Linked DNA regions of Ovis aries. The protein of the gene in region 1 purifies or fractionates together with the protein of each later gene. This does not show direct contact. Links are inferred from orthologs where the notes say so. Each region holds a gene or a part of one and is shown in the gene's direction. Other genes may lie near its edges. The genes, in order: CXCR4, ITCH and TMEM63B.

The links.
Region 2: the proteins of CXCR4 (region 1) and ITCH purify together in Homo sapiens (affinity purification with western blotting; 5 studies listed by BioGRID and IntAct, with this or other methods). This does not show direct contact. The link is inferred for Ovis aries from reciprocal best matches to the Homo sapiens genes CXCR4 and ITCH.
Region 3: the proteins of CXCR4 (region 1) and TMEM63B purify together in Homo sapiens (co-immunoprecipitation; 3 studies listed by BioGRID and IntAct, with this or other methods). This does not show direct contact. The link is inferred for Ovis aries from reciprocal best matches to the Homo sapiens genes CXCR4 and TMEM63B.

What each region holds. Positions count from the first base shown.
Region 1 is NC_056055.1:174,726,313-174,730,371, forward strand, and holds the start of CXCR4 (C-X-C chemokine receptor type 4), read left to right. Parts: upstream 1-1,218; 5' UTR 1,219-1,272; coding exon 1,273-1,287; intron 1,288-3,282; coding exon 3,283-4,059.
Region 2 is NC_056066.1:63,780,589-63,784,915, forward strand, and holds the start of ITCH (E3 ubiquitin-protein ligase Itchy homolog), read left to right. Parts: upstream 1-1,507; 5' UTR 1,508-1,736; exon of another isoform or gene 1,737-4,327. UniProt on the Homo sapiens protein: Acts as an Acts as an E3 ubiquitin-protein ligase which accepts ubiquitin from an E2 ubiquitin-conjugating enzyme in the form of a thioester and then directly transfers the ubiquitin to targeted substrates.
Region 3 is NC_056073.1:17,652,297-17,655,902, forward strand, and holds part of TMEM63B (CSC1-like protein 2), read left to right. Parts: intron 1-819; coding exon 820-962; intron 963-1,060; coding exon 1,061-1,112; intron 1,113-1,819; coding exon 1,820-1,928; intron 1,929-2,505; coding exon 2,506-2,576; intron 2,577-3,606. UniProt on the Homo sapiens protein: Mechanosensitive cation channel with low conductance and high activation threshold. Osmosensitive cation channel preferentially activated by hypotonic stress.

The sequences.
Region 1 (4,059 bases):
CGAGACTCGAAAGCACTGTCTGAGCGACCACTGCAAACCCCAGCCGTCTGAGATACCTTTAAGCGTCCAGCCCCCACCCTTATTCCACCCTGCCCAGCTCTCCAACCGAATTTCTTACTGTTGCCAACGCTTGTTCTCCACATTAGGTTGGACAGCGGATGTGAGGCCAGTAGATCTGGGTTTGAGTCAGGCTTGTCATCTCCGGGCAACCCTGGAATTGCATGTCTGCGGATCTGTTTCTTGTTTCCTCCGCATGGGGGCCTTGTCAGGTTCACCGCTGTTTCCCCAGCTCCTAGAACAGTGCGTGGCATGCAGTCAGCCCTCACTAAATTATCTGTTGACTAAATGCATCTCTGTAATGATAACACCTACAGGGTGTTGTGAGAATGAATGAATCTGTGCAGCTACCTGGTGACATGTTAGGGAAGTACTCTTCGCTGAGTATCTCTTATAACACAGCACAACTTTTTCAAAAGCACTATTCACGAACTGGTTACCCGGGAACACACATCTACTTCTCTATCACTATCTCCCTCCAGAATTATGCCAAATCATCCGACCTTCGTCTGAAAATGTTTTCTGATTGTCGACACTTGACTCTAGCACTATTACGGTGGATGTGCATGTCTAGTTATATATAGTTGTGCTCTGAAGAAAGAATCTTTACTTGTTTCATTTTCTGAATGAACTGCATCTGCTCAAAGAGCAGGGAATGGACTCAAGATATTGGACCCACTGCTAGCATTGCCGCCTGCTGGTCGGGTTTCTCCGGCAAGTCACTTCCCCTCTCTGGACCTCAGTGTCTACATCTGTAGCTTTCCCGGGTCAGCAATACCACCCACGTGAGCAAGGACAGAACAGGGCGCGTCAATCGCCCGCGCTTTCCACCTCCTCCAAGCGCATCCTGCTTTCCCAACTTGGGACACGCCTCCAGGATGAGCTTCCCAGCTTAAGACTCACGAGGTGACCTCGAGGTAGAGCTAAAGGTAGCCGCTGAGGGCCTCCCAGGCTTACGCTGCCCGAGGGCCTACCCCTCCGCCCCTCCCTCGCGTCCCCCGCCCCCGCGTCTGCCCCTCTCCTGCACCCCGCCTTTCTCCCCGCCCTGCCCTCCCGCCCACCGGCGCGGCGCATGCGCCGCCCGCGGAGCGTGTTTTTATAAAAGTCCAGCTTCGGCCAGAAACTTCAGTGTGTTGGCTGTGGCAGCAGGTAGCAAAGTGACCCTGAGGACTTGAGTAGCCGGTAGCCCCCGCGGCTGGAGAGCAAGCGGTTACCATGGAAGGGATCCGTGTAAGTCCAGTTTCAACCTGTTTTTTCTTAAACGTGCAAACACCTGAATTTACAGCGCAACCGCTCTCTGAGTGGGCCGGAGCAACCAGACTATTGCAGGTGCCAGTGCCCGGAGAAAGGGTGTAGAAAGGAGATTTCGTGCGCTTGGCTACAGGAGGGGTGAGGCATGCTGGACTGAAATCTTTTTTAAGTAGAAGGAGAAAAGACTGGGACGACCGTTTCAATGGTTGCATGTATCTCCCCCTGAGTTCTGCGGCGCGCGCCGGTTTTGCACGCTGTTTGCAAACAGAAGAACACTGTGGAAAAGTGCAGAGATGTGTGCTCTGTCAGAGACCGTGGGTCTCTTCCTCGAGGGAGCGGGGGTTTCTTTTGGAGCAGATAACACGATCTGAATTTGGAGGTGGAGGGCGGTACTCCCGGGCAGAGTTACCAGAGGCGTTGGGCGCGTGTTCACTAAACTCCGCTACCCGCGGAGTTGTGCCAATGGCTGGGCACTTGTCGCTCAGTTGAGCTGTCTGCGCGTTGGTCGCAGCAGGGAGGTACTGGGAACAGCCCTCGCGCCTTGGGATCGAGGGAGAGACTTCGCGGGCGTCGCCAGCGCCGCGAGTGGGCTCCTGGGTTCTGGAATTTGGGGGTCGTGCAGAAGTTAAAGGAGTATAAATGGTCACAGTGCAGCAGCACCCCGAGTGTGCGCGGCGGGGACTGGGGGTGGAATGAGGGGCTGGAAGGGCACCTGGGCCGCCGGTGGTTGCGGTGCAGACAGGCAGGTGCAAGTGGAAGACGGTTTGCCTCTCACCGCGCCCAGTAGCGCCATTCAACCGTCGGTGGTTTCCTGGAACCTTTTGAAAACCCCTTACTAGGGAGGCTTTTCGTTTCCCCCAGCGGCGGGCGATTCAAAGGCTCCCGCGGCGGAGACGCCCAACCTCTCCCCAGCACCCAGTAGTACTTGCCCCTGGCGTGCGGCGGGGCCAAACCGCCGCAACCGCACTGGGCGGGCGGCAGGCGTGGGCTTGGTGGACAGCCGGGAGTGACGGAGCTGGACCACCCTGTCCCCAGCGTGCCCTCCGCCCGGAGGCTTCCCACTACAGACCTCCCACCTTTTACTGCATCATTGGCGGCATGGGAAGCGACTTGGGAGAGTGAGGAAATGAAACTTGGGGCGAGGACCACGGGTGTAGACCCCGTGACTTTCCCCTCCCATTAAAATTCTGTGCTCGCTAACGTCCCAAACGCGCCAAGTGATAAACAGGGGTTTGGCAAAGAAACAAACGGCCCTGAAGAGCGCCCATGAGCGGGCGTCGGGGCGGTTACCCACTCTGACAATCCTGCCCCCAAGCACCAAAGCCCTTCATTCAAGGCCGCATTCTCCTTCCTCACTACGTGTTGCTTGAAGTGCAGAATGATAAGTGTTTAGACAGTCGTGGAGAAAACAGTGTTTCATGCCTTGGAATAAGAATCTTTGGGACACTCCGCCCTTTCACACACACACACACCCCAGTGCTTCTTGCTCCCGGCTTCCCTATCCTGGCGAATCTTCGTTGAGAAAGTTAATCCCAGCCCCTCAGAACACGAGATTCTTCCCCCACTCCCACCCACGCTCCCACGCCGCCTTTGTGTTGTGTTTTGGTTTTTTGCCCCGGAGGTTTTTTCTTCTCTCCAGTGGGCGGGGCAAAAGAGTTAGCGAGGATGTAACTTAGGAAACCGAAGACTCTCATCGCCGTTTTGTTTTAAACAAAGAGTTTTGTAATTGGTTCTCCTAAAGAGGGATGTAATGAAGTGACTTGTGGGGGAAGATGGGAGGAGATCCGCAGGAGTCTAGAATTCCCTTATCCTTTTTACCCTGGTACTTTAGTGGGAGCAGAATTTCCTGAAGAAAGCTGGACTGAGTTGGTTTTTACAAATTGCTTTTTTTTTAATACCAGAAACATTGTTTTGAACTCGGAGAATACCTGCTGAACTTGAAAGTGAATGTCTGTTCCCTTGCCTGTTTTTCAGATATTCACTTCCGATAATTACACTGAGGATGACTTGGGCTCAGGTGACTATGATTCCATGAAGGAACCCTGCTTCCGGGAGGAAAATGCCCATTTCAACCGGATCTTCCTGCCCACTGTCTACTCCATCATCTTCCTAACTGGCATAGTGGGCAACGGATTGGTCATTCTGGTCATGGGTTACCAGAAGAAGCTAAGGAGCATGACGGACAAGTACAGGCTGCACCTGTCTGTGGCGGACCTCCTCTTTGTCCTCACACTTCCCTTCTGGGCGGTTGATGCTGTGGCAAACTGGTACTTTGGGCAGTTCCTCTGCAAGGCAGTCCATGTCATCTACACCGTCAACCTCTACAGCAGTGTCCTCATCCTGGCCTTCATCAGTCTGGACCGGTACCTGGCTATCGTCCATGCCACCAACAGTCAGAGGCCAAGGAAGCTGCTGGCTGAAAAGGTGGTCTATGTTGGTGTCTGGCTACCCGCTGTCCTGTTGACTATTCCTGATCTCATCTTTGCCGACATCAAGGAAGCGGATGAGAGGTACATCTGTGATCGCTTCTATCCCAGCGACCTGTGGCTAGTGGTGTTTCAGTTTCAGCACATCGTGGTCGGCCTTCTCCTGCCTGGTATCGTCATCCTGTCCTGCTACTGCATTATCATCTCCAAGCTGTCCCACTCCAAGGGCTACCAGAAGCGCAAGGCCCTCAAGACCACAGTCATCCTCATCCTGACTTTCTTCGCCTGCTGGCTGCCCTACTACATTGGGATCAGCATCGACTCC
Region 2 (4,327 bases), on another chromosome or scaffold:
TGTTCAAGTTGGTTTTAGAAAAGGCAGAGGAACCAGAGATCAATTGGCAACATCCGATGGATCATGGAAAAAGCAAGAGAGTTCCAGAAAAACATCTATTTCTGCTTTATTGACTATGCCAAAGCCTTTGACTGTGTGGATCACAATAAACTGTGGAAAATTATGAAAGAGATGGGAATACCAGACCACCTGACCTGACTCTTGAGAAACCTATATGCAGGTCAGGAAGCAACAGTTAGAACTGGACATGGAACAACAGACTGGTTCCAAATTGGAAAAGGAGTACATCAAGGCTGTATACTGTCACCCTGCTTATTTAATTTCTATGCAGAGTATATCATGATAAATGCTGGGCTGGAAGAAGCACAAGCTGGAATCAAGATTGCCAGAAGAAATATCAATAACCTCAGATATGCAGATGACACCACACTTATGGCAGAAAGTGAAGAGGAACTAAAAAGCCTCTTGGTGAAAGTGAAAGAAGAGAGTGAAAAAGTTGGCCTAAAGCTCAACATTCAGAAAACGAAGATCATGGCATCCAGTCCCATCACTTCATGGGAAATAGATGGGAAACAGTGGAAACAGTGTCAGACTTTATTTTTTTGGGCTCCAAAATCACTGCAGATGGTGATTGCAGCCATGAAATTAAAAGACGCTTTCTCCTTGGAAGGAAAGTTGTGACCAATCTAGATAGCATATTCAAAAGCAGAGACATTACTTCGCCAACAAAGGTCTGTCTAGTCAAGGCTATGGTTTTTCCAGTGGTCATGTATGGATGTGAGAGTTGGACTGTGAAGAAAGCTGAGCACCGAAGAAGTGATGCTTTTGAACTGTGGTGTTGGAGAAGACTCTTGAGAGTCCCTTGGACTGCAAGAGGATCCAACCAGTCCATTCTAAAGGAGATCAGTCCTGGGTGTTCATTGGAAGGACTGATGCTGAAGCTGAAACTCCAATACTTTGGCCACCTCATGCGAAGGGGAGGGAGGGGGGAGGGGGGAGGGGGGTTCAGGATGGGGAACACGTGTACGCCCGTGGCGGATTCATGTTGATGTGTGGCAGAACCAATACAATATTGTAAAGTAATTAGCCTCCAATTAAAGTAAATAAATTTAAATTAAAAAAAAATTAAGAAAAAAAGACTGATGCTGGGAGGGATTGAGGACAGGAGGAGAAGGGGACGACAGAGGAGGAGATGACTGGATGACATCACCGACTCGATGGACATGAGTTTGAGTGAACTCCGGGGGTTGGTGATGGACAGCGAGGCCTGGCGTGCTGCAATTCCTGAGGTCGCAAGGAGTCGGACACGACTGAGCAACTGTACTGACCGGGAGTAATCCAAGAGTCCCTCCCACCTAGCTAAATACAAGCTCGGATTTAGCTGCGCTCACCAGCCTCCGCTAGGTCTTCCTGCCCGCAGCTGGTTAGTGCGCAAGGACTTCTAGGGCTTGTAGTCCTGATAGCTCCGGAGCTGGAGGCGCCTGCGCGTTGGCCGCCAACTCGTTCTAGTAGCTGTGGTCCGGAATCGGGACCGGCTGCCATCTTAGTCGAGGGACTGAAGAGTAGCCGCCGCCCCGTGTCCCGGTAAAAACCCGCGGGCGGACTGGAGGCAATTTTGGGGAGAGGGAGGGTCCTGGATGAATACGTCGGAGGAGGGCGAGAGGTAGAGGAGTGCGGCGCGTCAGCCGGGACCCGAGCCGCGGCTGCTTCCTCTTCCCTCAGAGCCGGTGCCCGTGGTGGGCGCGGGGAGCTCGGGCTAGTGGCAGGGGCCGGGCGGAGGGGTGGCGGGGATGGGTCATCTGGAAGCCCCGAGCGGCCCCTGTTGGGCTCAGACGGTCGGAGCCCCTCTCCTCGCGGGCGCCAAGTTCTGAGAGAACTGGGCCCCAGCGGGCGCCCCCGGGGTCCAGCCCAGAGCCCGTCAGCCCCGCCCGGGGGCTCTGCTCCTGCGGCCCGGCCTACGCGAGGGGCCCCGCGGCAGCGGCCGGGGCGGGCGACGTGGCCCTGCGAGGGGCGGCGGCCGGGCCCACCTGCCACCCGCTGCCCTTCCCGAGACTTTTTGGAGCTCGCACCAGCGAGAGGGGCCAAGTACAGCGGCTGCCTCTCTTCTCTCTTCCATTCCCCTCCGTCTATTGTCCCCCAGCGTGGTGGTCCCGGCCCCGGCGTCGTCGTCGGCGCCCGCCGCCGCCGCAGCGGCCCCGCCGGCGCCGAGTTTTGCAGACGTGGAGCTGTCACTGCCCTTCCTCCTGAAAGTGCCCTTTTCTTTAGCGGAGAGAAGGAAAAAGTAGTCGTGATGAGGACAGGACTTGGTGGGGACTAAGTGGGGAACTCAAGTTCTTAGACTTTGCTCCGGGCCGCGACGTAGAGCGAAACACAGGATCTCTGCGCCCCAGGTAGACGCTGGGCCTCAAGTTAGCGATGTAACCTGGTGGATTTGCAAACTACCCGAAATCCACGATTCCCCAGTAACAACTCACCTTGTTTTCTTGCTAATGTTTGTATCTTGTTAGATTTTCCGCTGTTATTCAGCTTCAGTGTAGTTTTTGGGAGTGAGGGGTGGGGAAGGAAGAGACATTTCAGGGAATTTTTCTCTGAAAATTAACGAGGCACTTGAGCCATCCATCTATCACTGTACTTAGTTTGAGTCTTGCATGTATTCCTAATATAATTAGATCGTAGGGAAGTACTAGAGGCAGTGTATTTCCACCCTCAAAATGGGCTAGAGAGTTGTTTCTCTGCCGAAATAAAGTTCTCAGAGCAGGTCTGGTGAGAGTCTTAATCATGTATTCATAGGTTTACTCAGGTTACAGTTACTTCATTTTTAAGATTTAGAAATGAAGGTGGAAATTCACCTGCTGTTTTCAACAGTGGATATAAGTTTTTTGGGTGTGAGTCCGAAAGGAATTCCTTCATCTTCAGCATATGAGTCAAGTCAACAAGGATATGAAATAAACAAGTGCAGGATAATTCCTCAGTGTATTCTAGAGTAAATCATTTTTCCATTCCTTAAAGAAACGTCTTTACACCAACTGGAAGAGACAAACCAGTAGCCCCCAAATTTGGTCATTAAAATAATCAGGGCAGCTTTTTTAAAAGTAGAAATTTCAGAGCCTTATTTCCCGAGATTGATTTAATAGGTTTGGGTCGGCCTTGAGGATTAAAACTTGCCTCAGGCAATTTTGATGGTTTTGGAAACCTTTGAGACAATACTTTGAATAAACCAAAAGCTTTGAGATGGAAGAGGAGGTAATCAGTTGTGTCTGATTTGAGGAGGAAGAATCTGCTTCAAGCTGAAGTTGGGTCTTAGCTGAAGTGTTATTGTAATGGAGAAAGGGAAGGACAGGGCAGAGGAAACACCTCAGTACTGTTAGTAAACACAGGATTGTGGAAGATAAAAGGGAGCAGGGAGTGGGATGGGGAAGGAGAGCATTATGGATGTGAGGCAAGAAAAAAACTTGTTTTATGTTGTTAGCAATAGATACAGATTTTTTATTATTTATTTATTTATTTATTTTTAGATACAGATTTTTTAACAGGAAAATGATATTGAGTACATGTTTGCTTTGGGAAGATTGCTTTGTGGCATGAGTGAAAGGACGGAAGAATGGCTGTTGCAGTGGTTTAGGTGAGAAGTGAAAGGCTTGTCCTCATTGAGAGGCCGTGGGCATGATCAAGGGATTAAATTTAGTTCTTTACTAGTGCAATATTGTCCTATTTTTGTATGAGGATTTCTTTAGGGCCATTCTGGGTAAAAGGTTCCTTTTCTGTCAAAAGAACCCATTAGCAAATCAGAATAGTATTGCACAGTTATATATGTTAATGGTATCAGAATTTATTGTTAGCATCCTTGATCAGGTACAATTTGTAGAATTTAGAGATTAGACTGAAATTTATGGCTATCAATGCTATTGGTTTATGAGCTTTTTGGGAAGTGTTTTTTCTCCCACCCTCAGAAACTTGGTTTTAGAATTTTAGAGTTGGGGGACTCCCCTGGTGGTCCAGTGGCCAAGACTCTATGCTCCTAATGCAAGGGTTGTGTGTTCGATCCCAGTTCTGAGAACTGGATTCCACATACTGCAACTAAAGATTCTACATACCACATCTGAGACCCAGCATAGCCAAATAAATAAATAATACATATTAAAGAGTTGGAAGAGATTGTAGAGATTATCTAGTCCACAGTAGCAGATACATTTTGATTTATGGGCCAACTTTCACTTGAAGTAGCTGCCAGAAGCCCTGTGTTGAGAAGGATTTTAATCATAAGGGTTCTCTGGGAAAGTGAGTTATGATTGATTAGTGATGACTCCTGTGGACACTAGTTATCTAG
Region 3 (3,606 bases), on another chromosome or scaffold:
GCACCCACCTCCCTGTTCCGGAGGCCCAGGCCCCTGCTGTTCCTCTGAGCCAGCCTCACTTTACCCCCCAACAGTCTCCTGTGCCCCTCCCCCGCCTAGGGGGCCTGCTCTGCCCTCAGCTCTCCTCGCCCCTGCCGCCCTGTGCAAGGAGGCGCGGACGCTGCCACCTCAGAGCCATGTGCAGCCAGCGGGTAGGGGCAACAGGCAGGCTGGGGGCAGCCAGCCAGCTGCAGGCAGGAGCCAGTCTCCAGCAGGCAGAAGTCAGGAGACGGAGCCAGAGTGCGGCAGGCAGGCAGTGAGCCTTGAGAGAGGCAGGAAGCCGGGACAGGTCAGCACCGCCACCGTCCTGGCCCGTGGGTGCCCAGGGCTCCCCACGCCTAAGGGCGAGCACCGCTGCTTCCCAGACCTCCCTCCACCCTCCCGCCTCTGTCTCCCCCTGCCACCACCTTTGTCCGCCCTCCTCGGGTTGTCCTCTCACCTCCGTTTCTCCCCATCCCCTGCTGCTCTTCCTCTCTGCAGTGTGCCTTGTTTTTCTTCTCTCTCTCTGTCTCTCTCCCCCATCCCTCTCCTCCTCCTCTCTTTTCTCTTTCCCTCCCCTTCTCCCTGAATCCTTCCTTCTTCTCCCTCCCTTTCCCTCTCACTTCCTTCTCCCTCCCCTCCCAGGACACAGGGGACCCAGAGCCCCACCTCCCCTCTTTCAACCCCATCCTGCTGCCGGATCAGCCAGGGCTAGGGTGGACGTGGGCTGGGGTGGGCCAGGGCAGATGAGCCATGGCCCCTCCGGCACACTGGTCCTTACCACATCCCCGGTGCCCACAGGGATGACGAGATCCGGGACAAATGTGGAGGCGATGCCGTGCACTACCTGTCCTTCCAGCGGCACATCATCGGGCTGCTGGTGGCCGTGGGTGTCCTCTCTGTAGGCATCGTGCTGCCCGTCAACTTCTCAGGGGACCTGCTGGGTCAGTAAGGGCCAGGACCACTGTGGTGGGAAGAGGAGGGGACAAAAGGGGACGTGCCCTGACCCCTCCGTCATCCTCTCCCTCGTCCCACCCCCCAGAGAACAATGCCTACAGCTTTGGGAGAACCACCATTGCCAACTTGAAATCAGGGTAAGAGTGGGAAGCTGGTCAAGCGAGGCCTGGGTCTGTGGGCAGAGTCTGGATAGGAATGGGGAGCGGAGGAAAAAGGGGGGTGTTTGGGGGAGAGGTAACTGAGGCTGCAGAGGTGACGGTGGGGCCTTGAGGGCTTGGGATGGAGCCAGAAGGAGAGGCTCCCAGGGAGGCTGGCTGGTGGTGGCTAGAGGGCAGTGTACCCAGCAGGGAGGGCGTGAAGAGATGACCTCTGGGGACAGTGTGGTTGGAATGGGACAGTCTTGGGGTCAGGATGTGGGGTGTGGGGCCTGCCTTGGGAGGGTGTCAGAGGACCCGAGTCTCTAAGGGGCCCTGTACCAGGGTTGTTGTTTTTAATGCTTATTTATTTTTGACGGTGCTGGGTCTCCGTCGCTGTGTGTGGGCTTTCTCTAGTGGCGAGCAAGGGCTCCTCCGGTTGCGCTGCGGTGGCATCTCATTGCGGAGTGTGGGCTCTAGAATATGGGCTCAGTAGGTGTGGCGCATGGGCTCAGTTGCCCTGCAGCGCCCGCGGCGTGTGAAATCTTCCCAGAGCGGGGATCAAACCGTGTCCCCTGCACTGGCAGACGGATTCTTCACCACTGGACCACCAGGGAAGTCCCCCAGGGTTTCATGGACACTGGCAGGTTTGGGGGTGTTTGCGAGTGTTCCCAGCCCTGGTGGCCCCGCTCCCCCCTCTGTCCCGCCAGGAACAACCTGCTATGGCTGCACACCTCCTTCGCCTTCCTGTACCTGCTGCTCACCGTCTACAGCATGCGCAGACACACCTCGAAAATGCGCTACAAGGAGGATGACCTGGTGAGTGCAGCGGAGCCAGGCCCATCCCCAGCCCACCCTCGGGGACTCTCCTGCTGAGTCCTAAGGTGTGGTCAGCACCCAGGTGAGGCCAGCTGGTTTTGAATCCTGGCTCAGCAGCCCAGGAGCCCCCATCCTGCCAGTTAAGTGACCTCCCCCAGGCTCAGTCCCCTCCTCTGTAGGAGGTGAGAATGGTCCCTCTCCCAAGGTGGGTGGGGGATGAGGCAAGGCCGTGCCTGGAAGGCCTGGGGCAGGAAATGGCTGTGGGAGTGATTGTCCCTCTTCTCCTATATTTATTCCCCAAACCAGCACTGAACACCCACTCCAAGCACCCACCCTGCTGGGGCCTCAGGGTCTGAGAATCTGCAAGTAGTACCCGCTCTGCACCCCCATAAGCCTTCAGGGGGCAAGAGGCCAGGGGGCTTTCACTCTGCTCACTGTCTGATTTCTATTAGAAACACCGCCCCTGGCTTATGCCGAGGTCTGCTTATCCCACCTGTCCCTCTCTGCTTCCCCGTTCCCCACCCCCTCTCTGAGGGTCAAGCCTCAGGAAGGCAAACTGGCCCCCTTCACTCCCCAGGTGAAGCGAACTCTCTTCATCAACGGAATCTCCAAATATGCAGAGTCAGAGAAGATCAAGAAGCATTTTGAGTGAGTAGCTCCTCCCCCTGTCCCCAACCCCAGGACCCGTGGACCCTTCTTTGCCTTCTTTCAGCTCCAAGAGCATCATCGCAGGCCTCTCTCCTGGGGGGCTCAGGGGCTGTGGTACAAGGTAGGGGGTTATGCTAAGAAAGAATTCTGACTCCAAGGTGTTGGGCTGGACTTCAGGTCCCTCAAAGAGCTGGAGAAATACTTGAAAAGTGAGTCCCTGGGCCTTTCCTCCTCCTGGCTTGAACCAGGTCATGGTTTGTTGACCCTGGGTCCACGGGCCCTTGAGGATGTGGCCTTCTCAGAATTGTGCATGGTGTTCTGGAGGCTGTGTGCACGCGGACTGGCAGGGAGAAGGTTCTCAGTTTTCAGTGCATCCTCAGGGAGCCCAGAAGAGCTGGGCTGCATGTTCTCTGAGGTGCTTTTTAGCCAGAAGTCTGTCTTACTAAAGTGAAGGAAATTCACTTCCAGTGGCCAGAACAGTCTGTATACAGCATCTGTTCATCTGTCCACTCAGCGGTTGTTCTCAGGTGCTGCTGAGGTCCATGTGGTGGCCTGGGGACTACAGAAATGAGTGCAAGACCATCGAGTTCTCAGGGCTTCACAGTGTGGAGGCCAGCTTTAGAGGCCAGTCTCTGGGGACAGTATTAGGAGTTGGCCGGAGGTCCTGACTAGGGCCATTGGTGGTCTGGATCAGGGCTCGGTCTCTGGTGAGGATCAGGATTTAGTGAGGTCGGTTGACCTGGATGAGCAGTCAGTTGTCCTGGATCAGGATGGGATTGGAGTTGGATCCCAGGCCCCTGTGTTACCGAATGACTGGTTTGTGACCAGGGTTTTTGAGTGAATCCTCTTTTTTATTCAACATGCATTTATTGGTCACCTTCTGTGTGCCAGGCATAAATCAATTAGAAACAAGTCCTGCCCTCCCACAGTTTACAGAACAACAGCTATAATTAGCTCATCAATCATTGGTCAGTATGAGAGAACAATTTGGGGTCCCATCTGGAGTTCAAGCTGTACTCAGCATTAGGGA